Linked DNA regions of Mus musculus. The protein of the gene in region 4 interacts with the protein of the main gene of each other region in a pairwise test. Links are inferred from orthologs where the notes say so. Each region holds a gene or a part of one and is shown on either strand. Other genes may lie near its edges.

Evidence for each region.
Region 1: the proteins of Ndel1 (region 4) and Dixdc1 interact in binary tests that used the Homo sapiens proteins (3 or more experiments, as listed by UniProt). The link is inferred for Mus musculus from reciprocal best matches to the Homo sapiens genes NDEL1 and DIXDC1.
Region 2: the proteins of Ndel1 (region 4) and Mrc2 interact in a two-hybrid assay, tested with the Homo sapiens proteins (2 studies listed by BioGRID and IntAct). The link is inferred for Mus musculus from reciprocal best matches to the Homo sapiens genes NDEL1 and MRC2.
Region 3: the proteins of Ndel1 (region 4) and Pkp2 interact in binary tests that used the Homo sapiens proteins (3 or more experiments, as listed by UniProt). The link is inferred for Mus musculus from reciprocal best matches to the Homo sapiens genes NDEL1 and PKP2.
Region 5: the proteins of Ndel1 (region 4) and Cenpf interact in binary tests that used the Homo sapiens proteins (3 or more experiments, as listed by UniProt). The link is inferred for Mus musculus from reciprocal best matches to the Homo sapiens genes NDEL1 and CENPF.
Region 6: the proteins of Ndel1 (region 4) and Ccdc88a interact in a two-hybrid assay, tested with the Homo sapiens proteins (2 studies listed by BioGRID and IntAct). The link is inferred for Mus musculus from reciprocal best matches to the Homo sapiens genes NDEL1 and CCDC88A.
Region 7: the proteins of Ndel1 (region 4) and Kalrn interact in a two-hybrid assay, tested with the Homo sapiens proteins (2 studies listed by BioGRID and IntAct). The link is inferred for Mus musculus from reciprocal best matches to the Homo sapiens genes NDEL1 and KALRN.

The regions. Positions count from the first base shown.
Region 1 is NC_000075.6:50,686,068-50,690,218, forward strand, and holds part of Dixdc1 (dixin), read right to left. Parts: intron 3,883-4,151; coding exon 3,793-3,882; intron 2,590-3,792; coding exon 2,536-2,589; intron 1,345-2,535; coding exon 1,294-1,344; intron 1-1,293. UniProt on the Homo sapiens protein: Positive effector of the Wnt signaling pathway; activates WNT3A signaling via DVL2. Regulates JNK activation by AXIN1 and DVL2.
Region 2 is NC_000077.6:105,347,972-105,352,122, reverse strand, and holds the end of Mrc2 (C-type mannose receptor 2 precursor), read right to left. Parts: coding exon 4,117-4,151; intron 3,817-4,116; coding exon 3,697-3,816; intron 3,526-3,696; coding exon 3,346-3,525; intron 2,556-3,345; coding exon 2,529-2,555; intron 2,425-2,528; coding exon 2,198-2,424; 3' UTR 978-2,197; downstream 1-977. UniProt on the Homo sapiens protein: May play a role as endocytotic lectin receptor displaying calcium-dependent lectin activity. Internalizes glycosylated ligands from the extracellular space for release in an endosomal compartment via clathrin-mediated endocytosis.
Region 3 is NC_000082.6:16,223,128-16,227,278, reverse strand, and holds part of Pkp2 (plakophilin-2), read right to left. Parts: intron 1,979-4,151; coding exon 1,866-1,978; intron 1,560-1,865; coding exon 988-1,559; intron 1-987. UniProt on the Homo sapiens protein: A component of desmosome cell-cell junctions which are required for positive regulation of cellular adhesion.
Region 4 is NC_000077.6:68,835,960-68,840,110, forward strand, and holds part of Ndel1 (nuclear distribution protein nudE-like 1), read right to left. Parts: intron 4,049-4,151; coding exon 3,912-4,048; intron 365-3,911; coding exon 191-364; intron 1-190. UniProt on the Homo sapiens protein: Required for organization of the cellular microtubule array and microtubule anchoring at the centrosome. May regulate microtubule organization at least in part by targeting the microtubule severing protein KATNA1 to the centrosome.
Region 5 is NC_000067.6:189,653,096-189,657,246, forward strand, and holds part of Cenpf (centromere protein F), read right to left. Parts: coding exon 3,550-4,151; intron 1,998-3,549; coding exon 1-1,997. UniProt on the Homo sapiens protein: Required for kinetochore function and chromosome segregation in mitosis. Required for kinetochore localization of dynein, LIS1, NDE1 and NDEL1.
Region 6 is NC_000077.6:29,463,882-29,468,032, reverse strand, and holds part of Ccdc88a (girdin), read right to left. Parts: coding exon 3,843-4,151; intron 2,423-3,842; coding exon 2,295-2,422; intron 1-2,294. UniProt on the Homo sapiens protein: Bifunctional modulator of guanine nucleotide-binding proteins (G proteins). Acts as a non-receptor guanine nucleotide exchange factor which binds to and activates guanine nucleotide-binding protein G(i) alpha subunits.
Region 7 is NC_000082.6:33,975,074-33,979,224, forward strand, and holds part of Kalrn (kalirin), read right to left. Parts: intron 2,592-4,151; coding exon 2,453-2,591; intron 1,007-2,452; coding exon 443-1,006; 3' UTR 1-442. UniProt on the Homo sapiens protein: Promotes the exchange of GDP by GTP. Activates specific Rho GTPase family members, thereby inducing various signaling mechanisms that regulate neuronal shape, growth, and plasticity, through their effects on the actin cytoskeleton.

The DNA.
Region 1 (4,151 bases), on a different chromosome or scaffold from region 4:
AACTTTCTGAGGTCTTTCAGTGTGATATTACTCACAACGAATCTTCAAGCCTATCAGAAATCTCTCAAACTTAATTAACCAAAGGGCACATTTCTGTTTTGAAATACTTCAGTGCACTAAGGTTACTAAATATGTTTTGGAAAGTGTTACTGAATTGGTCTTGGATAGCCAAGGAAGACATGTGCAAGAAAGAGGGGACCATAGAAGCTTTAGATGAAGACTCCGATGTTATATTACACTCCTATCTGAGTGAATAACATATACTCAAGGTTATCAGAGCAAGCACTGCTTATACCAGCAAAATAGCTCCCCTAAAGTGGCTAGTCCAAAATACCACCAAGAGGAGAATGAGTAAATATATATATAATACACACACACACACACACACACACACACACGACTGTTATGGGGGCAGGAGAGATGGCTTAGTCCTTAAGTTCACTGGCTGCTCTTCCTAAGAACCCGAGCTCAATTCCCAGCACCACGTGGAGACTCACAGCCATCTGTAACTTCAGTTCCAGGGATCCAACACCCTCTTCTGGCCTCCTTGGTTACCAGGCATGCAAGTGGTAGAGACATACATGCAGGGGAAAGTCCCACACACATAAAAAAATTAAAAAGAAAAACACAACGCAAGTGTAAAGAAACCCGAAGATGGTTTGACTAAAGTAGAACGCTCGCCCAAACACACTGCTCAGTGAGAGCAGCGGTGTGCAGATGTCCCCAGGTACACGGTAATTTGGGGTGAAAGGTGGGAGAAAATGTTAAACAGATAGACTGGATAACTGATAAGTTGCCTCAAGTGGGGAAAACAGTTTGTGGTGGCAGTGGGTGTGGTAGGGTGGGGGTCAGGGGGGCAGAGCTGGTGGGAGAGCTTTCACAGTCTATTCTTTTGTGTTTTCAAACCACTTGAATGTTATTAACCACCCCAACATGGTTCCTGTTTCTTTTTTCCTAAAAAGGGCATTTTTACGAACTGAGAGTGCCTTCACATAGAGCAAAGCAAGGTGGCCCAGAGGCAAGTGACAGCACCATGAGTCACAACTAGGAGACATAAGCCTCAGCAAAAACCAAGATATCTTCCTCAGCATGTCTTGCTACCCACCGCAAAGTCCTTTCTATACCCCTAGCACCAAGCCTGTTAAAGACCCCTAGCAAAACCCCAATAGTCCCTAGGGTGCCCTGTTCTCAAAACTCACTGATAGACCACATTACCTCACAGAGGCTTACAAAAAAAAATAAATAAATAAAACTAAAAAGACAGAAAGAAGGAATTCAATGTCTTCATTTTACCTTTATCCCCTGTAGGTTTCTGGCTTCTTGTTTGCATTTCAGCAGTTCTTTCTACAAACCAAACATAGAGAGATCAGACGGTGGCTTCTGAGTTGCTTCATAAGCATTACCTCATTCTGTCAGCAAGAAGACAAAACCCAGTTGGCCATTCCACGAAGATTAACCCATCAGCTGAGGCACAAAGCAGGTCCAGTCCTGTAAGCCGTAAAGACTGACCCTCTCTTCTCTAGGCACCCATCACTGAGATGCCCAGGCAGTCAGAGGACACCCCATCCCATCCGGACCCACAGACAGGCTCTCTCCACACAGCAATCTTTGTTAACAGGAGAACCGGATAACATCATCCGAATCTCCGTTCAAATCTGTGATATGCTATCTCTTCTGCTGCCAAATACTTATTTTGATTTTATTTAACTTTTAAGCAAAGGGTTGGCATGCTTCTATTCTCCAAAAGGCTATTGTCTTCTTCTTCTTCTTCTTTTTTGGACTGAGGCTATTGTTCTTTGTGGTCCAAACAAAAAAGCACTTGGCTTTATAATGGGAAACTGAGTAACTGAATTTCCATATATATGACTGCAACTAAAAACAGAGATTTGAGAAAAGCAAAGCCTGTTACTGAGACTCGGGTCTCTCGCTATTGTGTCACAGAAAGGATTCATAATTAGCTTATCTAAAGTGGGATTTGTAACCTGGCCTCCAACAGATGGAATCAAAAGTTATAAAAAAAAAAATGGAGGTCTAAGTGTGTATGTGTGCACATAAGCACATGTCACGGGAGATGTGTTCAGTCACAATGCTCTCTACCACTGACCTGTAAGAAAATATTCATTAAAAAGAACTACACTAACATTAGACACTCTCTCCCCTTTTTGAGGCAGGCTCTCATTATGTAGCTCTGGTTAGCCTGGAACTCAGTATGTAGACCAGGCTAAACTTGAATTTATGTACCACGATGCCCAATCTAGAGTCATCTTTTTCTACTGATTAAATTACAAAAAGGAATCTAGAAAAATTTCAAACTTACAGAACAGAACAGATAACTACTATGTAGGGTTAAAATTAAAAAGTTGTCACCGTGAGCAACAGGTCAGATGTGTCTCTCTCCTCCAAAGACAGACAGCATAGGTAAGGTTCAGCTCGCCCCGGCACCGCATCCCTAGCCCGCTCCAGAATGCCCCAAAGCTGGCATGTTACGTCCCCACGGTTACTTTCGAAGGGGAAAATATGCAAGTCCTCCCCTACCTTAAGGTCCTGATTCTCCTCCACACTCTGATCCAGGCGGCTTCGGATTATAATCTGAACATAAGACAAGATGGTCATGAAGTTCATCGGCCACTCACTCAACAAATACTCACTGACACCTACGAGACACCACTTCCATCCGGGAACACATGCCCTCTTACAAGCAAATGCTCCAAACAATACAGATGAAATTTACAGTGTGTGTGTGTGTGTGTGTGTGTGTGTGTGTGTGTGTGTGTGTACCAGGAGAAGCAGATGGAATCAGGGAAAGAGGAGATGAAGCAGAAAAGGACAACGGGAGCCAGACCAGGAAGGGCCAATGAGGACAGTAGGGAATTAACACAAGGGTTTATCTGGGTTTTTAAAAGATATTTATTTTTACTATTTGTGTGTGTGTGCGTGTCTGTGGGTATATGCTCATTGAGTACAGGAGCCTTAGAGGCCAGAGGCAGAAGATCCCTAGAACTGCAGGGAGCCACCTGATAAGGGGGCTGGAAATTAAATTCCAGTTAAATGTTCTTAACTGCTGAGATGAACAAGAAGAGTTTAGAAGAAGAATCTCAAGTCAGGAAAACCTATCTCGAGGCTGCTAGGATGCTGGATGAGTGAAGGCCTGAACTAAGTAGTGGCTGAGCTAATGGAGACACTGGGTGTGAAGGGAGGATCAGAAGAACTCAGGGATGGCGTCCAGGTTTCTGTTCGGGGCTTCCGAGTAAACGAGGAGATGGGAACACAAACATAAGGACAAACAGAGTCAGTGGCTAAGAAGGGGACAGAGATACTTAGCAGAGGACACACTGACACCGAGCACCCACAAATGAGCTGTCTGCTGCACACAGCTCTACAACTCTGCAGAGATCTGAACTGGAAATCCATCTATGAGAAGCAGGCACAGAGTGAGTGAAGACACAGAAGGCAGAAACACTGACCAGTGACTGTGTAAAATCGACGACGACCCAGACAGGGATGCCGAGGAGCTCCACATCACGACATAGAGAAAAGGAAGTCTCCAGGGGACTGGGCTGTCATCTGAAGGGGAGTGGGGCCATAGGTGTCCTTGGTCATTACCATAGCTCTAGCACCGTGGACTAGCGTGTGACCCAGAGTCAGCACATCTGAGCATCTTTCTGAACATCTGCTGACTACATCAATGGGGAAGCCAGGAAGGCCAAGAATGGCAGACAAACTCTAGGAGTCAGGAGAGAGTACTTCAAGAAGCTGAGGTCAGGTGTGAGAGGAGCCAGGCCTGGCGCTTACCAGCTGTTCCTCGGGATTGACTCCTGGTTCACAAAGAGCCACGGGTCGCTCCTGTTCATCCTCCGGCAGAGAGCCATTGAGTAGCAAAGCCTGGATAAACCACAAAGAGAGGAGGAAACTGAATACCCTGCCACCTGGTTCAGTCTAGAGTCAGGCTTGCTAAGTTTACCACAATAGAAATTGGTGGATGACACAAACACGTCTTTGGAGGAAGCCAGATGATAAATAACCTCTGCCTACTTCCAATGGCCCTGAGGACACACATCTCCTTCTAGAGGTCCCTCTCCCATTTTTAAAGAGTCTCATGTGGGGATGGCTTTGAACTTCTGGTCCTTCTGTCTCTACCTCTCATGTGTTGG
Region 2 (4,151 bases), about 37 Mb from region 4:
TGTCCCCCTGGGCAATCCAGATCCCATGTTTCCTAGTGGCTTCCCCCAGCCTGAATCAAACATTGGAAAGAGACTCGGAAAACCATCATGGCAGGAGCGTCCAGGGTGGATGGGCAAGGGAAGGAGCGAGAACATTCAATGGGTGTCTTTATGTATTCTTTTCACTCCTTTAGGCTCTGAACCACATGACCACACTGCCTATCCAAAACAAGTAGAACTAAGATTTTAAAAGTCCTGGACAGGGTAAGCCTGAGAACGCACAACGCCTCTAAACCACCGCTAGTGTTCCAGGCCAAACCAGCCACCATCTTCTGAGGTCTTAATGATTGCAAGGGCTTCCTCTGCTTCCCCTCCCCCATCTCCCATCCATTGTCTGTGTCCCTTACCGCGGTTACAATGAACTTGTTAAAGATCAGATCAGCCATTCCCACTGGCAGCCTTCCTTACAGTATCCACCATGCCACTGCGTCCTGGCCTGCACCCACTCAGCCACACTCCTGCAGTCACCCTGTCGGTCCTCTGAGACATTAGGGACCCTCTGCTCCCACTCTGGTCCAGGTATTCATATTGCTCACCCTACACACACACACGCACACACACACACACACACACACACACACACACACACACACACACAATGTAATAAAAAAAAACTTTAGAAATAAGAGTAGCAGTTAGCATTTATGGAGTGCTTACTGCATGCACTCAGAGGCACTTGGTAAGGACACTCACCACATCCTTAAGCATCTTTCCGACAGCCCAACCCTAGGAGATCCTCTACGCCCTATTCAAGCTGATGGGACAATGAGCTCAGGTGCCCAAGTTCACACGCTTGTAGGCAGGGACGACTTGTCTCCTGAGGAGAGCCAAAAGCTCAGAGGCAAAATGGCAGGCTACAGAAACAACTGGACAGAGCTGCCATCTGTCCCTACAGGGCTGCGGGGGTCAGACTCTGCAGAGAAGGAGGCACAAACGCTGACTTCTCAAGCCTCTGGAAGGTTTTTATTTGTTTGCTATTCTTTTTCTCTTTTTCCTTCTTTAAAAAAAAAAAAAAAAAGACAAACAATAATAGCACATTTCGAGAATCAAGAACTACAATAGAGGGTCCGCTTTGAGTTTTTGTTCACATCGTCCTGCACTGGGACACGGGGACTGGCACTCTCCATCCTGGCTGGGACTCTCCTCTGGAAAAAGGTGCTGAGTGGTTCCATGAGTTGGTCTCCTAGGCCACACCAGATGGTAGCACCTGGTGCTGTCCCAGGTTACAGCCTCACCAGCGCCCCTCCCCCTCCAAACCATCTTCCCTCTCTCCAAGCCAGAGCCAGAAGCCGGAGACATTAGGGAACTTATTTTGGTCCCCACAGGGGACTCTTTCAAGGACAGAGCCCTCCCCTGACCAGCAGGAGATGACACCCTGTGAGTGGATAAGGTGTCTCTCCGAAGTTCCATCTCTACTCCAGCAGACACCACACCGGTGCCCTGGTTTGTACACCTGAGCCACCTAGGCTCCCTCCTGCCATACCCTAGGTCCATTCCAGCAGGCACAGGAGTGACAGATGCTTGGCCAGCCTCTTCAGCTGACCCCCACCCAGAGAGAAAGAGAGAGAGAATGAGAGAGAGAGAGAGAGAGAGAGAGAGAGAGATCACCCAAGTCCCAGGGCCATGGCTCAGAAGGAGGCACTGGGTGGAAAAAAAGGCACGAGGGCAGGGTGAGGAGACAGAGCTGATGTAGCCGAGTAGGAGAGGTGACAGAGAGCCACCCCAAGGGACGGGGCAGGCTTTCCAGGCCTACAGATAGGAAAGAATCCTAGGCTGCAGGTCAGCAGGTTTAGGCTCAGGGATCTGGGGAGGAAAAGACATGAATAAGCTCATGTCCCTTCTCATATTGCCTCCAGTTGCCATGGGGTCCAGGTCCAGGTGACACGATCCCAGGCCCAAGGGAAAGGGGAACATGACCCACTGCCAAGTCTCAGCCTAGCCTCTATGGTAGGCTGGGTACTCCCACCCCATGGCAAGCTATGCCCCCGGCACCCAGTAGCAACTCCCAAGGGTTGCCATCCAAAGACAACTGGGCTGATGGGTGATGGGGGCCTGCTGACCTGGGGCCCCTGCCTTACCCGCTCTGGCTCCACCCCGACCACGCCCTTGGGGCCCCTGCCTCCCCCGCTTTGGCTCCACCCCGACCACGCCCTTGGCTCTATTCTTGCTGTTCGTTCATTTCCATGTCAGACACCAGAATGTTCTTCTCGGTGGCCTCTGCGGGGCCAGAGTGGCTGCTGCGACTGTAGCGGGCCCCCTCGAAGGACCCACGCTCCGCACTCTGTCGGCGCCGGTAGAGGATGAGGGCTGCCGTCATCAAGGCCAGGAGGAGCAGCACCGCTGTCAGCACCACCACCAGGGCAACCGGGCTCTCGGGGAGGGCTGCTGAGATGGAGGTGGGGAGTTCACATCAGGCCCCAGTCATGACCACAGGGACAGAGGAGCCAGCGAAAGAACCAGGCCGGGGCTCGCTCATTCCCTCCACTCACCTGATGGCAAGAAGCTGTTCTCTTCCACTGTAGGAGAGGAGAGAGCCAGAGAATCACAATCAGTCCTCACAGAAATCATAGTCACAATTTAAATAAGTGCCTGTGAACTGCTTTGTGAATGTCACCTTGCAGAGTCACTGAACCTCCCAGGACTCTAGGACCTGGCTTCTACTATTTCCGTTCTATATATGAGGAAGCTGATGGGACAGGTGTGTGTGTGTCTATGTATGTGTTCTTATAGGTGAATATAAGCAGATACTTGTGAGTGTGCATGTGCGTAGAGGTCAGAGGTCAAGGTTATTGCACTGTGTCTTCCTTGATGCCTCTCTACCTCGGTGTTTTGAGGCAGGGTCTACCACTGAACCTACAACGTATGGATTCAGCTCATGGCTGGTGAATGAGCTCCAGGGGCCTATAAAACACAAATACACGTCTCCCTTTCTGTCTTAGGGTTACAGGTGATGGCACTCAATGTTGGGATTTTATTGGGGTGCTGGGAATCTTAACTCGGATCCTGGTGCTTGCGTGACTTTACCAAATGGACTATATCCCCAGGCCTCAGAGTCAATACGTGAGTGTCCAGGGCTTGACCATCCCTTGTCCCTAACCACTATAGAATGATGGGGCTTGCTGTCCTCTGGGCTTATGTGTACTTTGGAAAGTTGAGGCCCTGCGTCAGTCCTTGCTGCAAACTAATGTACTTGATGCCCTCCGGCCAAAGCAGATGCCCCTGTATATCAAGTAACCCTAGACCCAGCTGGACATCCAGCTGTGAGTCCAGCTATGGGCCCAGCTGTTGACCGAGATCCTGGCTTACCTCTAGGGAGCTTGCAGACAACTCCCATGGTGATGTTGGTACAAGCCCCGGGGCGCCACAGTCCGCTGCTGCTCTGGATCCAGTAGCAGCTGTTGTGGCTTAGCATGCTAGGGCCCAGGCCAGGGGGCCCCCAGTTAGAATAGTTCACAGCTGTGTTGTCTTGCCAGACCAGCGTGCCTCCTGTGGAAGGAACCCATTGGGAAGGTGTGGGAATGGGAATAGGTGGAAGGGGGGTTTCTAGGTGGGAGGCGATAACCACGATCCACTGCTGTACTTTCACAAGCCTGGAGACAGTGGTAAGCATCCCTCTTGCAGCCTGAGCCCTTCCCTTCCCGTACACAGAGCACCCACCTTTGGGGTTGAAGTTCATGCCCAACCAGGCACCTCGACTTTGGGCTTCAGCTGTCTGCAGGTGCTCCCAGACAAACACATTCTCCATCTCATCAAGAATGGACAGAACCGTCCCACCAGCTGGACACAAAGAAAGCCCATGTCAGGACAAGCAGATTCTCCTTATGGTGATAGACCCCCCCCCCAAACTACTTCCCCCCCCTCCCGCTTCACAGCAACCCCGGCACTCTTCTCTGGCAGCTCAAGTGCAAGATGGTGTGAATCTCAGCACTTGTGGACCGTGGGATATTCTGTAGATGACACAACATGGTCTGTGTATTAAACAGCGAGGGGAGCTTGAGATAAGTGCCTATAGGCAGAGGGGAAGTTCTTTCTCCAGGCCTCAGAGTCCCGGATCTGGGCTAGGCTGCTCTCACCCACCTTTCTGACAGCGCTGCAGCGCCTCCTTGTGGCCC
Region 3 (4,151 bases), on a different chromosome or scaffold from region 4:
ATGTGCATTGGTGTTTTAACTGCTTGTATATCTGTGTGAAAGTGTCGGAACCCCTGGAATTGGACAATGGTAAGCTGTCAACTGAATGGGTACTGGAAACTGAACCTGGGTCCTCTGGAAGAGCAGCTTGTGCACCTAACCACTGAGCCATCTCTCCAGCACCTCACTTGGTAATTTTTTAAAAAACTTTCTCATTAGTCTGCTTTGGACAAGTGCTAAGTGTCTCCTCTACCCTCAAGACAGTTTCCAACTGCATCAGTCACTGACTGACTGATACATTCCAATGTTCTGGGAAACTAAACCCATGGCTTAGTACTTTGCATCACAGTCTAAGTTGACAGTTGTGTTTAGATATTCCATAGGAAAGACCCACACATATGAAGATATACTCAGAGGGCATAAAAAGGTAGAGTCTGGAAATGGGGTCTGGCCACAGGGAAGTGTGAAACAGCAGGATAAGGACAAAGGATGCAGTGTACAGGTGTGTGGCAGCAGCCAAGGCTCCGAGTTGTGCAGGACTCCACTGGGAAGGCCACTGCTATTGTTTGTTTCCTCTGTAAAGTGATGCCTATTTGCCTCTCTTTCCCAGAGGAAGCAAAACTTTCCCTTCAGAAATAAGAGTTAACTCCTAGTCTCTAGGATTTGTGAATCTCCAGAAGAGATTAGTCTTTGAAACATGATTAAATATTCTATTACAATTACACTGTCCATTAAAATAATATTCTGACACAAGTATGGCTAGTGATTGTAGAATTTAAGTAACAAAAGGATCCAGATAGCAAAAAGTCATTATTTCATCTTGGTCTTTCACTCCTACATTCCTCTTTCAGGATACATTTTTATAGCGTCTTTTGTGAACCTGCCTCCTTCCTATGGTACTGAGAATACAAGGATGAGTCAGACATTAGCAAAAAGCTAGAAGACTGGGGCAAAAGTTAAGTTAATGCATACACAGTATAAAACTGTAAGGCAGGTTTGGAGGCTCACCCCAGCTGGGCGTCAGCGAAGACACTCCTGTCCCCATGTGCATCCCCGCTGCCCACGGCAGCCTGGCCTGCGGTGGTCAGCATTCTTCCTGGCTCCCGCAGGCTACTGCGGACTGAGCTCCTGGGCCAGGAGGAGCGGGCGGTTCTGCTCTGCGTGCTTTGAAGCCGAGCCTGGCTCACGCGCACAGTGGTCTCTTCCAACAAGCTGCCCGCACTGTGGCTGGTGCCAGGAGGGTGGGTGGGCATTGTGGGCTTGAGTGGGCCATTGTCGAAGACAGCATCGCTGAATGACCCGCACCCAGGTGGCCTGCGGGCTGTGCCAGCCTGGCGTAGGCCCAGGATCTCTGAGCGAGCATAGCGTGGCAGGGTGAGGCGCCCACCAGGCACCACGTGGCTCCGCCAGGCATACTGGTATTCGCTGTGCCCATAGTGGGCTCTCTCCGGGCTGCTATCTGGGGAAATCTCAAGTCTCCTCAGAGGCTGCCTCCAGGATCTCTCCTCCACTGACTTCTGGGAACTGTACTGTGCTGCTGCTCTCCCCCAGCGACTTCCATAAGTGGCAGTCATTCCAGCCTGTATGAGAGAAATGAAATTTAAATGAAGCATATTGACCTGACCGACTTTGGGATTACAATCTAACATGTCCATTTCTTTGAATAAAATGGAAGTCAGTACCCTTGTGTTACCCTGAGTCATAGTTATTTGTATTAGAATTTAATATTGTTCAAACTTTTAAAGTCCCAGTTTTCCATATTGTTTACACAAATATTCTTAAAAACTGGGAAAGGAGACCACTTGAGACAGATTACTCCCTTCTCGAAAAGTCTGAAATTGTTTTCCTGATAATCTGGTCACGGATTATGTTCTCTGATGTCCCACCTTAAGCATGTCATAGTCCCTAGTGACAGGTGACTGCCGTCCAACAAAGTCATTCTCAACCACGTGTAGCTTGTAGACATACTCAGGGACACTGCTGGTTCGGTGAAGGTTCCCTGAAATTAAGAAAACATTAAAGTAATTTAGAATACAAACGTGCCAATCTACACTGATCAGATGCATGACAAACACTGAAGTTTATATCTAAGTGTTTGGAAATGCTGGTTGAAAGCTGTCATTTAGAAAAGACAAATGATCAGAGGTTATCAAAACATTTACTGGGTGTTTCCAAGTGCCAGTAGTGTATGCCAGTAATCTCTCTTTCTGAGTTGCAGGTAGCCTGAATGAAATCAAGCGAGTTACAAAAACCAACCAAACCAAAAAGAAAACAAAACCCCAAACCAAACAAAACAAGAAAACAATGGAAAGTACAAAACCAGCAATGGCGAGAAGCCTTTAGGAAAGCCCAATGCTGCCGCTGAGCTGACCAGTGCTGGGGCTCACTGGCTTGGTTCAGTCCCAGGAAGTTCTGATTCAGGTCAGAGGTAGGTTGTGTTCCCAGGGTAGGAGCTCTGGAATTTTTTGCTGTTCAGAAGTCCAAGGGAATGAAAACATTCAAACGCTACTAGATAAGGGAGCTTGTGTAAACCAGAGGGTGGGGCCAGTGTAGTCACAGACACCGAGCAATCTAAAGCAAGGCTACGGTGTTGGCATTGTGAGTTTGTAGCTAAGAAATTAACGGCTCTTCTATGATGACTGTGCCTGTGAAGTCAGGACCCAGCTGACTATTTCACAAACACTTCAGGGGAAAGCCAGGCCTTGCTCAGTGAAGCATGCTCTCATCCACTTGATTACTCATCTCTGAGGAATGTGGGCTGGAAGGCAGGGCTGGCCCTCTCCTGTCTCTTTAGCCTTCTCCCCGCATCTGATTTCTAATCTCTTAAATGGAAAAAAGACTTCTAAAGCCTAGATAATGTCTTTTTCTATTTTCTTATTTTTGTCCGGCAGTGTTTCTCTTACACATGTGAGGAAGAAAGACACTCAACAATCCTAAGAGCCTCAATAGAGCTGCTGAGAACAGCAGAACACAGTCCCCTCACTATGATGGAACTCTTTCTAACAAAGTGTCTAAATGTTTACATTTCAAGAGAGTAATAATTATTCACAAATTACTTGGAGGGAGAATGAAGACTGTTGTTACCAGAAAGCTAAACAGTTTGAATCCATTTGGATTATGCTTGCACATGTGTCCCTATTTCCTGATGCCAATCAAGCCTTTTTGTCTGGTTGTCTTAGAGAGGCACCCACACACAGGCTTGTACCTGTCGTATTGAAGGCACTGAAAGCATGGTTAGCCAGAAAGTCCTGATTCTAGAATTCATGAGGCCTGGAAAGGGAGAGGGGTTTCTGACTCGGGAATTCATTAAAGCCTCTTGCCACTGAGGAAGGAAGAAACCAGTACAACTAGCAGTTCAATGAAAGACTCTCTCTTCTCAGCTATCATCTTACAGTTCCCTGGAAATCTCAGCAGAAACTCCATTGGTGGGAGACAGACACCACGTCCATGTATTAAACGCCATGTGCAGCCCTGCTGGCTTCCGGCTTTACATTATCAGATCGTAATTCTGTCAAAAGAATCTCCAGAGCCACTTATATCATTTAGTTATGGGGGGGGGGGGTCCCTCTGCAACTTTGTGAGATTATGCCTTCAGAGAGCCACTAGGATGGCACAGGTGGCTAATGCTATAAAACCACCACGACTTTCCCTTGAAGGGCCTGTACCCACACTTAGGTGTATCTCACTTCCCATCTCTGCGCTCTAAGGTGTTACTTCCATGTGAGCACCTTGCTTTCTTTCTTAACCTTAATTCTCAGGCTAATATTAAACTATTTTTAAAATTAAAATCTTTAACTCTATTTCACATCCACTATGTCAAAATTTCTGTTTTGCATTCAAGCTACAAAATGCTAGTGTGCCTTGTATTGAGGTCCCTAAATGATTAAGGGAACTTCTCAGGCTGCTGTCTCAGTGCCCTTACTACTGAATGAGGGAAAGGAATTCCTTCAATTTAGGAGAGGTCTTAAGGGCATGGCTCCTCGGCTAGCTGTTTCCCCTTACTTCCTGGTCCATTCCACAGCGCAGACAACCAGGAGAGGGTGTAAAGCTTATGCTGGCATAGGGCTAGAAATTAGCAGTATAGACACAGGGCAACACAAAAGGCTTTGAGCCTTAAGGATCTGGGGGAGGTAAAATGAAAAGCTTATATTCCTCCTATCTCCAAAGAAACA
Region 4 (4,151 bases):
TCTTGTGTTGAGCGCAGACACCATCCCACTGCGACAGATCAGTGACCTGGAAAGCCCATCCTTCCTCTGCTTCCTGGATACTACAGTAACTTGTAAACTGCCGTTCACGCAGAACTGTAGCAGCTCTGCTACACCAGCAAATACATTTGAAACTGATCATCTAACATGGCCTTCAAGAGAAAATACAAACCTTTTGGTGAAGGAAAACTGTTTTCTGTGCCTTTCCCAACAGGCGTTGCAGGCAAGGAGAGTGAAGCCTGGACCGCAGAATCCATCTTCTCACAGTCCAGAGTTGGAGAGCTGGGGGCAGACTTGCGGGTCACTTCCTGTTGTCGTTCCCGAACTGCTAGTTCTTGCCTTAAATCTGCAAAATGTCGCAAACAAAAGCAGGAATCCTCATTAGAGGGAGCAAATATACCCTGCAAGTCCCAACAAAAACATCATATAAACATTCCTCCTATGTTACTAGTTCTCAAAACAAGCTTCCTATCTAAAAATTTTTATCTCTTTAACAAAATGTGAACTCCCCTAGAACTTAAAAATACAAAGTAGTGAGATGGCTTAGTAGTTACGGCACTTGTTTCCAGACCTGACAACCAGAGTTCCATCCCTGAGACAGACATGGGAGACTGAGAGAACCAACCCCTACAAGATGTCCTCTGACTTCCACAGTGGCTAGTGTACGCACACAACACACACACACACAAAATAAAAATAATTTAAAAGAAAGAATTTTAAAATGCTATAACCTCTCAGAGAACAGTATTATGCCCAAAGGTAAAAAGAAATTGAGCAGTGAGGGCTAAAGAGATGGCTTTTCCACTGGACAAGTTTAGTTCCCAATCCATGTCAGACGGATGCCTATAACTCTAGCTCCAAGAGCATCTGATACCCTCTTCTGGCCTCTGCAGGCACCTGCACATAAGTGGCATATACATATACACAAATAAAATAATAAATCTTAAAAAAAAAAGACACAACTAGAACTCACAGAGAAACTAAGTAACACGGGACATCCCTAACCAACTGTGCATATGCAGTTGCCGTGAAGATTACTACCAAATGCCAATGAAGCTTTACAAAGTTTTATAGTTTTTTTTATTTTTTTATTATTTGGTTTAAACAAGATCTCACTATACAGTTCTGGTAGGCCTGGAATTCTCTATGTAGATGAGGCTGGCCTCAAACTTGCAAAGATGCAACTGTTTTTGTTTCCAGTATACCAGGTTTAAAGGCATGCATTACCACATCTCAGATTTTTTAAACTACCACTATGAAATCATTTTTCAATACTGAATTTTTAATATTTCCAATTATATACCTACCCTGAAAATATCTTCATATGTTAAAAGAAAAAGGATATAAAGAGGCAAATCTCTGAGAATTCAAAGCCAACCTTGTCTACACAGAAAGTTCCAGGATAGCCAGGGCTATGCAGAAAGACCCTATTGCAGAAAAAGAAAAACAGGCCAGACGGCAGTGGCGCATGCCTTTAAGCCCAGCACTTGGAAGGCAGATGCAAGCAGACCTCTGTGAGTTTGGGACCAGCATGAGCTACAGAGGAAGTTCCAAGACAGCCAGGGCTACACAGAGAAACCCTGTCTTGAAAAAAAAAAAAGAAAAGCAAAAACAAAACAAAGGATACTATATGTTATTTCACTTTTGAGATCAAAAAAGTAAAAATAGAATTACAAACTGATATATGCAATCTATATCCACAACAGCCTTGTTCACAAGAACTAAAGATGCAAGCAACCCCACAGCCCATTCACAGAAGAGAAAAAAAAAATGATCTAGAGTGGAATTTTTAATCTACTTTCTGTAAGATAGGGGAATGAACACATTCTCAAAAATTGTCCTTTGAACTCCATACTAATGCTTCTATACCCATGCAGGCAGACGCAGGTACAGACATCACAGGCATCTCACACACACACACACACACACACACACACACACACACACACACACTCACACACACACACTCACACACACACACACTCACACACACTCACACACTCTCACACACACACACACACACACACACACACACACTCACACACACACACACACACACACACACACACACACACAAATGCCATTTTAAAAAAATTTTAAATAAGGGTGGGTGGGTATGGGGGACTTTTGGTATAGCATTGGAAATGTAAATGAGCTAAATACCTAATAAAAAATGGAAAAAAAAAGAAATGTAACTGAGGAAAATACGTAATAAAAATATATATATAAAAAAATAAAATAAAATGATAAAAAAAATTTTAAATAAAAAAAAAAATCAGGTCACAACAACATAAACAAACCGTGAGGACACTAAAGTTAAACTAACCAGTCACATAAATATAATAATAATTTAAAAACCATCTCAGTATAGTGGTACACTTTTAATTTTTAATTCTAGCACTTGAGAAACCAACAGTGAACAAGACTGGGGATGGATGGAGCCTGTCATGCACAGGCCCTGTGTTCACTCCTACCACTGTAAAACAAAATCTATACACAAACAATACCAAGTTAATACTTTATATATTACAAAAATTAAAACAGTTCCTCAGGGGCTAGAGAGATAGCTCAGCACTCAATGCTTTCCCAAAAGACTAGGGTTTGATTCCGAGCACCCACATAGTAGCTCACAACTATCTGAACTCCAGTTCCAGGGATCTGATGCCACCTTCCAGCACCCGAGAGCAGCAAGCATGCCAAGTGGCACACATGCATGCAGCCAAAACACCCTTACACATAAATCAACCTTTTAAAAACTCTAACAACAACAACAACAAAAAAAAAAAAAAAAACCTTCAGATGAATGCATCACCCTCAGGAAAAAGAAAATTAAAAGACACTGAAAATCTATAAAAAGAGATGAAGAGACGACATATAGTTAAACACACTTTCTGTAGAACATCTCTCTCTCCTCCTTAGCACAATGAGATTCAGAGAATTATATAGGAAACAAGAGCAGGGGCAGTACATGCTCCCAGTGCTGAGCCATTACCTCTCCAGACCCAAAGCCTGCTTTAAAATTTTCCATACCACAGCTGGAGAGATGGCTCAGAGGTTGAGAGCACTGGCTGCTCTCCCAGAGGCCCTGAGCTCAATTCCCAGCAACCACATGGTGGCTTACAACCATCTGTAATGGGATCTGATGCCCTCTTCTGGCCTACAGGCATTCATGCAGATAGAAGACTGTATATAAAATAAATTTATAAAAAAAATTGTGATGCCATGTATATTCCCTATATTAAGTAGAAAAAAAAGAGAAATGTATGTGTCCATTTCTGTCTGCTCATAGGAAAGTCAGGAATTATTTAAGGGAAAATATACAGACATATACAATCATAAAAAAGTAAACTATGTCACACTGTTAGGGGACTTCTTTATAATATTCTCAATTTTATTGTTTCTGAGGAGAAAGAAGTTTAAAAGAAAGTGTGTACGAGTTACATGAATAATATGTAAACAGCAACATATATATACACATATATATATATATATATATATATGGTTCTATGTAAATAACGAGTTATTTAAATACAATTAATAAGGAGAAAAATCCCAACTGAGAGCAGTACAACAGTGAAAAAGCTCCAACTCTCTGTGCCTCCTTCTGTTCACCTATAACATGGAGGTTCTACCTACTCCTCAGCACTGATGCTATGGGTATGAGATAATTGACCAGGTTAAAAGCACTTGGCACAACGATTGAAAGCTATGTAAAAGCATATAGAACTAGAGCTTCCGAGAAACTGAGGGCTGGAACACAGCTCAGGAGCAGAGTGCTTACCCAATTGCTCAAGCTCCGGGGTGACCCCTAGCACCATCAGAGGGGTTAGTCAGTCCTTGTGCTTACTCAGGCACAGGCAATGGGTAAACACTGGCTAAGTGATAGAGCTTACCTCTGGCTTCATCCTTTAACCTCTGTACTGAGACCAACAAAGATTCCTTTTCATCGAGCTCACTTTCTAAGAATGCATTTCGTTCAATGGCCTGATTTAGCCTTTGTTCAAAGTCTTCCAGTGAAACTATTGTTGCCCTTTAAAAAAAAATTATTTGAAGCCCATGAATTAAACAGCATGTTCAAACAGCTAGTACAAAAGAAAGCAATCAGTTTATCTCCTGCCATTCTTAACCCAGTC
Region 5 (4,151 bases), on a different chromosome or scaffold from region 4:
TGCTTACTTTCCTTCAGTTGTTCTAGGATGTTTTGATGCTTCTTTTCATCAGCATCTATGTGAACTTTGAGCTTTCGAATGCTACTTTTCAAATGATGCACTTCCTCCCCTGGTTGGTCTAGACTCTGTTCTTGGGCCTTCAAGGTTTCTTGGTCATTACACAAGGCTGCCACTTCCTCCCTGAGTTCTTTTAACTGCATCTGAAGCATCAGCATTGCAGACTTAGAGTCTTCTTCCATCTGTACTCTTGCTTGCTCCTTCTCTTCCAACAGTCTTCTCAAGGAAGAGCACCGTTCATCTAATTCTGACACTCGACTTTGTTTCTCTTGTAGCTGCTTTGCTAGATTTTCTCTTTCAGTCCTAACTGTAACAAGGTCTAATTCGAAAATTCTCAGGCTTTTGGTCATTTCATCCTTTTGTGCCTTAAGGGTCTCCACCTCTGCTTTCAAATTCTCAGAATCAAGAATTGCCAGCTCTTGGTTTTCTTCTGACCTCTCCAGTTCCCGCTCCAGAGTCTCCACTGTATCCTTCAATGAGTCGCTTTCACGCTGGCTTTCTTTCAGCTTCGCCACAGCACTGAGGTGCTTCTTCTCATCGGCCTCAATGCGGACGCTCAGTTTCTCAATGCCTCGTCTCAGCTGATGCACCTCCTCCTGGGCTGAGCTCAGCTGCACTGCAAACTCACCTTTCTCCTTGAGTGCCACCTCCAAGGCCTTAGAGATCGTCTGCTTTTCACACTCTGACTCAGTCAGCTTGATCTGGAAGTTCTGAGACTCCTTGACCAGTGATTCTTTCTCTTTATTCAGTTGTCCAATTTGTATTTCCAGCTCACCAATCGCCAAAGATAATTCTTGTGAGTCATTCTGCAAATTCTGCAGCTGCTCCTGGAGATGAGCTTTGTCTTTTGTTAGCTCACCCACATTAAAGGACAGAGTCTGAATAAGATCTGCTTTGTCCTTGACCTCAGACTCTACTGCCCCAATGTGACGGAGGCTCTCCCTTTGGTGAGACTCCAGCTCTTCTATTTTCTCTTTCATCTTTTTAGACATCTGATCCAGTGCTTTGCTTTCTTTTGACACATTATCTAATTCTTCCCGAAGTCTGTTTCTCTCACTTATAACTGTAAATAGTTCTTCTTTAAGGTCAATAATAACCTTTTGCTTACTTTCAGTGTCTCTTTCCAAACAGAGCTTCTCTGCTTGAACCACCTCTAAGTTAGTTTCCACAGATAGGATGTGATGCTCAATATTAGCTTTCTCAGACTTAATTCTGGTCAGTTCTCTTTCCATATCAAGAAACTTCTCCTTATAATTGTCTTCTGTGTTGGTTGCATTATCTTTAGTAGATTTACTTAACAACTCATTTGCTCCCATATCTAAATTAAAACCAAGATCTTCTTCTGACCTTTCTACTCTCAGACATACCTCCTGGTTACATGGAAGGGATTCCAACTTTTCACTTAAGTCAGCTTTTTCCTTTCTGAGGTCCTTGACTATTTTTTCCAATTGTATGCATGTTGCAATCTTCATCTTGAGCTGTACTTCCTGTAAACTCAGTTTTGAATCTGCCTCCATAATTTCATTTAGCAAACTTTCAACTTTTTTGTCCCAGTCCTCTACTTCAGGAAGTAATCTCAAATTCTCATTTAAGGTGTCTTTCTGCAACTGGAGATTCTGGATAGACCCCTGATCTTCCAGAACATCCATGGGCACCAAAACATTGGAACTAGAACACAATTCAGAAATGCATTCTGAGCAGTCCTGGGTTTTGTCCTCCGCTGGTGCCTCACAATTGGTCTTCGGAGGCTGCTCTTCACACCCCTCTCCTGTGAGCCTGGTAGTCTCACTCTCAGTGACTGAAGTTTCCAGACCAAGGTCCTGCTGAATATCTTTATCACAAGTTTGGTCAGTGTCCTGCTTTGGTGTTTTCTCTGTAGTCTCTGAAATATATACTTCTGATTCTTTTATATCATAATTATCGTTTTGGCACCGAACAACCTATAAACATAATATAAACCAAGAAAGCATTTTATTTTTTTAGAAGAATCAAAATAGAATCAGTGGTTTAACTATTATTTTATAGAAACTGCCCATATGGGTACTGCTATGTATATCCCTCCAAATAGCATCACTCTCAACACTTCATTCCACCCTGCTGTCTTGATAGTCAACATGAACATTCAGTGGGCTCTACCTATGTGCAAAGCACTGGGTAAGATATTTATCATAAAGATTAATCCTCCAGGACATTTATTTCACTACATCTAATGTGGAAATTACATCTTTCATAGCTTTTAATGTTTTAGGAAGCGTAAAAGAGTAGTTTTTTGTGGTTATCAAATAAGAGAGGCTAACAAACTTCAGATAAAATGGTTAATGTTTTGATCCTTAGTCCTCATGTTCTAAGTTCTCATTTACTTACTAAGAAAAGCAGTAGTGTTTATTAGCAGATTGTCTGCCCAAAGACCTCATCCTAGTCAGTACTTTCTTGGATAAACTGCATGTTTTTGTCTCAATTTCATATAAACTAGGGCACTCTGATTATGACCACCCCTACCACCACCTCAAAATGATCTATGACCTTCACCTCACAGAATTCCAAAACTGTACTGCATTATTGGTATTTAAGCTGGTCAACTAGAAAAGACAAAACCACAAGGAACTAAAATATAAAATAAATCTCTTTAAGCAACTGATACCATTGTTAACTGCTAACTGCTAAAAACAAAAAATAACATTTAAATAATTTCTTATATCTAGCTTAATAACTAATACTATAACATCTAAAATAGTCTGAAAGGCATAAAGCTAAGCCTCCCTAACACATCACTCACTGATCATAAGTTCTTAATATTTAAGTGTACCTTATTAATTTCCAGTATATGTGGTGTTTTGAATAGAAATGGTTTCCCCACAGGCTAATATATTTGAATGCTTGGTCATTAGGGAGTGGTGATATTTAACAGGGATTAGCTGTAGCCTTGTTAGAGGAAGTATGTCACTGGGGGGGGGGGGAGGGGGGCGCGCTGGGGTTTCAAATGTTCAAGCAAGGCCCAGTATCTCTTTCTCTTCCTGCTGCCTGACGATCTGGATCTAGAACTCTCAGCTACCTCTGCAGCACCATCTCTACCTGTGTGCTACGATACTCCCTACCATACTGATAATTCCCTAAACTGATAAACTGTAAGCCAGCCTAACTAAATGCTTTCCTTTGTAAGAGTTGCTGTGGTTAGTGTCTCTTTTACAACAATAAAACAGTGACTAAGACAGCATACATTCTAAAGATTTACAACTTCAGACTTTAAAAACATTTTTTGGTGCTTTTCCATAAAATATTTAAAACAAGTCACAATGGACATTTATTCCTCAAATAGCTTCCTCACTTTTTTGAGTCCTGGTTCGCTCTAGGAAGGTTTTGGTTACGTTTTCATTTATTTCTTTAAACCCTAAAAATACTCCAATTTTGATTTCATATGAATTCAATCCTATAAACATTTACTGAGTTTAACTAGGCATGCACACAGAGAAATAGCATGTATATCCTACTTACACTTTCCAAGTCAGTGCCAAGCAAAGACCTGGAGCTCAGGTCCAGCTCCTGTAACTGAAGTCGTGCTACCTCAAGTTCAAGGGACAGAGTCTTGGTCTGCTGCTTCTCCTCTGCTAACTTGGACTCCATTTCCAAAGTGACACTTGTTAGCTTCTGCTGCCATTGCTCCTTTTCTGACAAATACTGCTTCCTAAGGCAGCTTAGCTCTTTCCTCTCAGAACTCAGTAACTGCTCAAGCTTTTCAATTTCTTTATTTTTCATAATCCTTTGGCTCTCAGTTTTCTCCTCTAGATTCTTGAGGGACTGCAAGTACACCTGGCATAGGACTTCAAGTCCCTCAACAGTCCTCCCAGGGGCAGGTGGGCTTTCCTTCTCAGTCAGAGTCTCCTCCTCCAGACTGCTGGAGAACTCTTCATCCAAGTCACAAGAATTTGCTGAAGCGTTCCCTTCTAAACTTAGATGACATGTGTCTCCAGTTTGTTCTAAAACGTCTTTGTAAAAGGACGTTTCTCCAAAATTTGTCAGAGACGGGCTGTCTGCCCCACAGAACGACAGTGGCAGACCATGCCCACCCTCAGCTGCAGGCTCCCCCTCCTTTACCA
Region 6 (4,151 bases), about 39 Mb from region 4:
ATTGGCTACGTGTACTGTCCCTTTACTGCTATCTCTAGATTTCATTTTATTTATTTATTTTTTTGGTTTTTCGGTTTTTCGAGATAGGGTTTCACTGTGTAGCCCTGGCTGTCCTGGAACTCACTCTGTAGACCAGGCTGGCTTTGAACTCAGAAATCCACCTGCCTCTGCCTCCCCAGTGCTGGGATTAAAGGCATGTGCAATCACCGCTTGGCTAGATTTCATATTTTAATCCCCAATGTTTAACACCAGTTTTCTTGAAAGTAATTCAGCTCTTGTATATTGATATCCACTGTATATTACCAGTCAACTTCTCTTTAATTACATTTTATTTATTTGTTATGTGTTTCTGTGTCTGCATGCCAAGGATCAGAGGACAAATTCTGAGAATGGAACTCTCCTTCCAAAATGTGGGTTTCATGAATCAAAGTAGAACCTCTGTGTTTAAAGTAGTGCCCACTGGCTGTGTCATATCTATAGGCTCCTCACAGCTTTTAACGTTGAACCAGCTGAACAGCATCCATGGAAAACTGAGAAAATAGACACTTACTTTCTTAAGGGATTTACTCATTTGCTGAATCTTTGGAAAAAAATTTACTTCTTTTTTTTTTCTTTTCTTTGTTTGTTTATTTATTTTACACTCCAGATTTTATTCATAGAAAATTGGAATTAGAAATGTAGAGGGCCTGGGACTAGGTGATGCGCTGTAGATAGACCACTAAAGTTATAATAGCATTATAGCAAATGTGTATGCACGGTGATAATACACAATAAATCACAGAAAAGCTTGTTCAACAAAAAACCAATTACATCTGTTCACCACACTGACAATAAACTCACTGTTATGTATTTATATACTTGATCCCACCAGTAAGCTACATGTGCTTTAATGATAGTATCTTCAAAGTGGTAGTAACATTAATTAGAAAGATGAGAAACAAAGGAACTAGGAACATCACCTGAAATTGATAGACAAAAATTCCAAAATGGAGAAGATGAAAGACTAAAAAAGTGTTTGTACCTGTGAGCCTTTATTATATTTTTAACATAAAAGCTTACTTACTAGTCAAATGAAAGAAAACATTTAGTGGCTTAAAACAGAACACTCTTTTCTATTTTGCCCAACTTTAATTAGTTATTAAATATTTTCGATCCCATTTCCTAAAAGTTTTAGTTCACAATATATGGTTTCTATCCCAAAAATCTTTCTTTATATATAGAAATGTGGGATAATGAATGTTATTGTATCTTGGTTGCATGTTTTAAATTGTTCTAAGAATCAATCAATACTGGCTACCTATATGAATTAAAGCTTGGGAAGAGGTGGCAAGTCTTAAAAAGGGTCTGTCTAAACTGGGCTCATTAATTTTAATGAAAGTGTTACTTAGGCCAATACATGCTTTGCTAACAACATGAAATGTTTCATAAACAATAGGTAATCTGATTAAAAATTAATACATATTTGACACCTATATTAAGATAGTCAATTAAATTGGCAATTAACATTCTGATTAAATTGAATACAAAATTTCCTTAGAAATTTAATACTTTTATTTTTAAATTTAAATATTTTTAAGATGTATTTATTTTATGGTATGTATGTTTTCCCTGAATATACACTTACATCCATGCCTGGTGCCCACAGAGATCAGAAAAGTGTCAGATCCATGGAACTAGAGTAACAGATGGCTGTGGGAAGAGAACCCCCTGTTTTCTGCAGGTCAACAAGTGCTATAGAGTTTCTCAGTGTAGCCTTGGCTGTCCTGGAACTCACTATATAGAAAAGGCTGGTCTTGGACTCAGAAATCTGCCTGCCTCTGAGTGCTGGGATTAAAGGTATATAGCACCACTACCCAGCTTTGGTTTTTGTTTTTCTAAATATTCTTATAGAAAAAAATTTAATTATATTTGTTTGTATATATGTGTGTGTGTGTGTGTGCATACATGGTGTGCACATGTGTAGAAGCATATGTGCCATAGCATGCATATAGAGGTCAGAAGAAAACTTGGAAAATTTGATTTTTCTTACTATGTATGTCTTGAGACTCAAGCTTAAGTTATGAGGCTTGGTCTTGGCTTTTACCTAATGAGCCATCTTACTGGCCCACAAAAGAGTAGATCTCTAGTCTATCTGAAACAAGTGGCTCTGTAGATCTTAAAAATCACATTAATCCTAATTAAAAGACTATAATTAACCAAAAACAGAAATGTAAAACAAGTCTGAATCAACCATTAATAAAGCTAAATTTCCTTTCAGTCCACATCTTTCAGAACTTTCTCCACATCCCACTTACCTGTCATCAGTGCTCTGCTCATCGTGTAGGAGCCGCTCTTTATTTAAACCTATCTTCTCAAGCTCATGAGTTAATTTCTCAAGATCATTGTTCATTTGTTGTGTCTTCAATTTCTCACTGACTAAATCCTTATTTTAAAAAGAATGAAAGAACGTACAACTCACTCAAGTATCAAGAAAAGAACGTCAGTCAAGATTCTAATAACTACAACCCAACCAGACGTAATTTGAACCAGGTAAGAAGTGTGACTGACCCTTTCCAGCAGTCAAGTGGTACATTATAAACAAGCTAAATCATTCCTAAAAATCCTAAAAATCTTCTCTTGGACTAAACCACCAACCAAAGAGTACACATGAAGTGACCCATAGCTCCAGCCACATACATAGCAGAGGTGGCAGTGTTCAAGATGAGCTAGATACCTGTCTGTGCACCATAAGGCTATTACTCAAACAATAAAAAAGAATAGAAAGAACATCACAGTGCTGACTCTAGACCACCAACCAAAGAGTGCACATGGAGGGACCCATGGCTCCAGCTGCATATGTAGCAGAGGATGGCCTTGTTCGGCATCAATGGGAAGAGAAGCCCTTGGTCCTGTGAAGGCTCGATGACCCAGTGCAGGGCAATGCAAGGGCAGGGAGGCGGGAGTGGGTGGGTGGGTGAGCACCCTCATAGAAGCAGGGGGAGGGATGGGATGGGGGTTTCTGGAGGGGAAACTGGGAAAGGGGATAAAATTTGAAATGTAAATAAATAAAATATCAAATAAAAACATCATTTCTTCCTCAAATTATTTTTTGAAAAAAAAAAAACATTTTTAATAGAAATAAGCTCGAGTGTGTGTGTGTTGCTACTTCTTTATAATGCTACTGTTATAAAGGAGTTTCTAGGAGAAACTCTTTCCTGGTAAACAAACAACGTGGTGAAAACCATAATGGAACCTCCAACACACTCATGGACTTTAATGAAGCACTTATGTGTGGGGGGAAAAAGTAAACTATTATCTAATGTATGAACCTATCACATATTACAGGAACTATCACAAAGTAAATCTTACAAGTGAGAGAATTCTCAATAGTTCAATGTTGAAATTTAAGTTAAACCTGATTTTCATTCTCAGGCTTCTCAAACATCACAGAGCTTTGGAGTTTGAAAGATCTGAGATTAAATGCAGAAATCCACTCCTTTTATTAACTGTGTGTTTTTGAGTAAGTTAATATTTCTGAACCTGTTTGCTAATGTGAAAGATAAAAATAATATTTAAATGACTGACTGTGAAAAATCATATAAATTTACTTGACTACAACTTACATATGAATCCTTAGCCAAGTGGTAAAAAACACTTGCTCTAATCATTTATACCTTATTACTAACAATTTTAAAAATACAATTTAAAATGTCAACTGAATAGGAAACAGAAGTAGTTTCTAGCTCTAGTTCCAAAATTGTACTGAACTACACAAAAAATGGCACAAGTTACTGATGGGTTCAATAAAATGTGGGCTGCAAATATAAAAAATGATTGCCTTAAGTTTAGGTAAATATATTTACCTCACGTAATGTAACCAAGGTTTTAATATCAATAGTTGCTCTTTTTACAAGCTCTTTATTTTCTTTTTCTAATTCTTTTAGACGAACACAGGACTCTTTATATACATTAATTTCTTTGAATAAAGTTTTGTTTTCTTTTTCCAAATTCCCAATTTTCACATTATTTTCTTCTAATGTGGTATCTTTTATTTCTGCTTGTTGTCGGAGTCGTTTATTTTCCTTCTCCAATTGTTTTTTGTCCTTTTCAAGTTGAGATGTCTCTTGCTCTAATGACTTGTTTTCTTTTTCTAGTTGTTCCAGTCTTTTGCT
Region 7 (4,151 bases), on a different chromosome or scaffold from region 4:
CTATATCTAAGCCATCTAAAGCAGAATAGTTGACATCTCTGTTAAATAGAACTTTTTTTTGTTTTTGTTTTTTTTGTTTTTTTGTTTTTGCTTAAATTTTCAATGGAGTCAGAAACCTACCATACTGCTCACAGTGGGTGTACGGTTTTCCCACTTAACTGCTCATTTTGGAATGTACAATTACCATTTTCATACCAAGTACTGTCTCCTTAGCCTTGCCCTTTCTTTTAATACTTTCTGCAACTCTGTATCTTTACTTCTTCAGCATGACCTTCTGGGATTAAGGTGACTTTCATGGTACTCAGACCCCGGGTAACCACAGACAAGGTTTAAGAGGATCACCTGTCAGTCCAGAGAACCACATGGAGTGAAATGATGATCAGAGTTATTTACAGACACGCTCAGTCTTGCTTTGGTTCACACTGCACTACTATGTGAAACCTCAGGGGTTGTGGGATAGCGAGGTCCCTTGGTTCACCCTATTGACGATGTAACTCTTGACATTGGGAATGGGCCGCACATCATTCTGGTGCTTGCGGCGTTCTATGAAGCAGGCCAGACGGGAGGTGTCCAAGGGGATCTTGGAGTAGCTGCCGTTGTGGGGCTGTAGCCAGGGATGCTGCAGGCACGTGGCTGCTGTGGGCCGCCTCCGGAAGTCTTCCTGTAAGATTACGTTGATGAAATCCCTGGCAGCATTGCTCACACCGCAGAAGTACTCGTGGGGGAAGCTAAAGTCCACCCTGCACACGTTGATACAGGTTTCCTCTTTGCTCTCATCTAAGAAGGGGGAGACCCCACTAAGCATGACATATGTCAGAACCCCGATGCTCCAGATGTCTGTGCCCAGGGAGACAGGGATGCCTTGGATCACTTCGGGGGCAGCGAACTCAGGGTTCCCCAGCAGATGGTGGATATGGAAGTGGCCTGAGATCTGGACAGCGTCTTCCAAGTCGATGAGCTTCACTCGAGGCACTGGGATCCGGAGGTCAATGAGCAGGTTTTCGGGCTGCAGGGACCCAGGAAGGCAGGGACAAGAGAGGTAAGATGAGGTCTTTGCTGACCTCCCTACCCCAGCTGCAATCTGTTAGCTAACACAGATTATTATTCTTTGATTCAGTCATGTGGAATACTCCCTATGCAAAGGCAAAGGAGGTTTCAAACTCACTAAACTCTGGGGTTAGGTGGCTTTTTAGATAAGTTGGTTGGCATTGGGGAAGGAGTACAGGGCTAATCGTGTACTCCTGATTGGCCCAGAACTTACTCTGTATACCAGGCTGGCCCAGAACTTACAGAGATCCTTCTGTCTTTGTCTACTGACTGCTGAGCTTAGAGGTAAGGGTTGCAGCACTCAGCCTGTACTTCCCCACCCTAGTGTTAGAGATCCAACCCAGGGCCTTACACATGCTAAGCAGGTGTTCTGCTACTAAGTCACACACGTATTCCAGAAGAGCATGCCTTCTTACCTACCCTTGCCTTGCAGTGAATCAAGGAAAGAACTAAATTTTTAAGAAAAAAACAAGCTTCTCAGAAACTGTGTGTGCACGCACGTGTGTGTGTATACATGTATATGTGTATGTATATGTGTGTGTATACATGTATATGTCTGTGTGTGTGTATATATGTGTGTGTGTGTGTGTGTGTGTGTGTGTGTGCGCGTGCGTGTATTGCTGGGTGGTGATAACACAGGCCTTTAATCTCAGCATTTGGGAAAAAGAAACAGATGGATCTCTGATTTGGAGGCCAGCCTGATCTACAGAGTGAATTCCAGCATAGACAGGGCTACACAGAGAAACCCTTTCTTGGAAAAAAATTTTTTTTCTTTATGTGTACGTATCTATATGAGTGTATTCCATGTTCGTGCAGGTGCTGTTAGAGGCCGTAAGAAAACACTGGGTCTACTACAGTTGGAGTTGCAGGTGGTTGTGAGCCAAGCAATATGAGTGCTGGCAAGAGAACTTGGGTCTTAAGCACTGAGTCATCTCTCCAGCCCTCCGAAGCTCCTTTTTCTTACAGAATGAATGGGAACAGGACATTAAGTGATGTCTATAAAGTTAGACTGCTTGGTTAAAGCTTTCCCTTACCCCGTGTGCCACCATCTCTCTGGTGTGTTTCCTTCATTCCTGAACAATGCACTTAGGTAGAGTGAAAGTCTAGTTCTAGTTTAATAGTCACATGACATCACAGGAAAGACAAAAGAAATGTAAATCTTCCCCCTAGCAGTAGTGATGCATGTCTTTAATCCCAGCACTTGGGAGTCAGAGGCAGGCAGATCTCTGAGTTTGAGGCCAGCCTAGTCAGCAGAATGAGTTCCAGGACAGAGAAACCCTGTCTTTATAAAAACAAAACAACAACAATAAAAAGAAATTCAATTTTGTATTTTGTATTCCTCAAGGAAATGTCTGGGAAGCTGAACCCGTCTATTTCACTGTAACAGGCACTGACTTTTTATTACCTTTATGTCCAAATGTGCGACCCTACAGTTGTGCAGGTACTGCAGAGCTTCCATGATGTCTCGAATGTAGAAAGCTACCTTTTCTTCCATCAGCTCATCATGATTCATAAGGTAGTCCAAGAGTCGGCCGTCATCCATCCTGACAGCAAAGAGGGGTGGGGGGAGAAATAGAGAAATGACCCATGCACATAGCTTAAAAAGTTCTAGGAGGTCTCTTATTAATAAAGCTTGGTATTGCAACACACATGTATTTTAGAGCCCAAAGTAAGTGCCACATTCAGAACTAGAATGAATCAAGTTACAAATGAGTTACACGGCAGGAGAAATCCTTACAGCCTTACACAACACCGTTTTGTTGACTCTAAGGTCTAACCTGGCTTTAAGAGGTTAGGTTGAAGAGAAAAGAAAAGGAAAAGAAAAGTCTGGTGCCTATAGTGAGCCTCATATACATTAAAAGTATTTCCACTTTTTAACATTTTTAGATGGGAGAAATGTGAAAGAGGAAAGGTTTGCTCTCAGCATATCTGATCACTTCTTAACTCTTTTGCCTTTCTAACAGCTTGCCAACTTTTAAAGACAGATTGAAAATGGGCTAAGTGGAGCCAACCATAAGCAGATTTCTGTTCTGGTTCTGCCTCTTACCAGCTGGTGGCTGTAGGTCATCACTTAAACCCTCTGTGATTTGGCTTTCCTGAAAGGCACCGCCTTTTAAGGTGGGCATAGCAACTGGCTGCCAACAGCAACATCAATGACAAAATAAGACCTACTTCTTTGGCAGGCTTGTGAGAGCCAGGTGAGGCAATGAAGATTTGAGGCATGGTCAAATATGTTTGAATACTTGTCCCCAGCTGCTGGAACTGTTTGGGAAGAATTAGGAGGTGTGGCCTTGCTGGAGAAGGTGTGGCACTAGAGCAGGCTTTGAAGGTTTCAAAAGCCCATACCATTCTCAGTCACTTTCCTGCCTTGTGCTGTGTGGGTCAAGATGTAAGCTCTCAACTACAGCTCTAGAACCAAGAGCTGCCTGCTGCCATGCTCCTCACCATGATGGTCATGGACTCACCCTTTGAAACTTTAAGCCCTTAATAAACTCTCTTCTATATGTGGCCTTGACCATGGTGTCTCATCACAGAAAGAAAGAAGTAACACACGGTGCTGAATAAACAGTAGCTATTTCTAGGCTTCCTATGCCCTTTTGTAACAAGTGATCAAACCTTTAATGTGAAGTGGGTCATTTGAGATACGTCTCAGGAAATGCCCATGTCAAGGAGTGTGATCCAGTACAGGAATAACTTCCAACCATAGCTGAAACCTGCATAGCTGACTTCATTTTCTCCCCTAATTTGTTCCTTGCTACGGGATCCTTCTATTTTATTGATAAGTGGAAAAGGATGGAGCCCCTGGAAGGCTCCCTACCTCCCTCTGGTCTTCTAGTATGAGGCAAGAGAGGAAAGATCAGAGAGGAGTGGTACTGTGCTCATCACAAGGAACTCTCAGAGATACTTGGAACAAATGAGGGGGACAGTTACAGCAACACTGCTCCAAGCCAGAAAAGATCAGCCACCCCACCTTCCTTAGAGCTGTTCTCTAGCCTGCATCCATCTGAGACTAGGGAATGGGAATCTTGATTTTCTGGTCCAGGAGGGTTGCACCAGTTATCCCTATTGACCACTACAGGCAGAGCAAGATTGAGCACGTGATT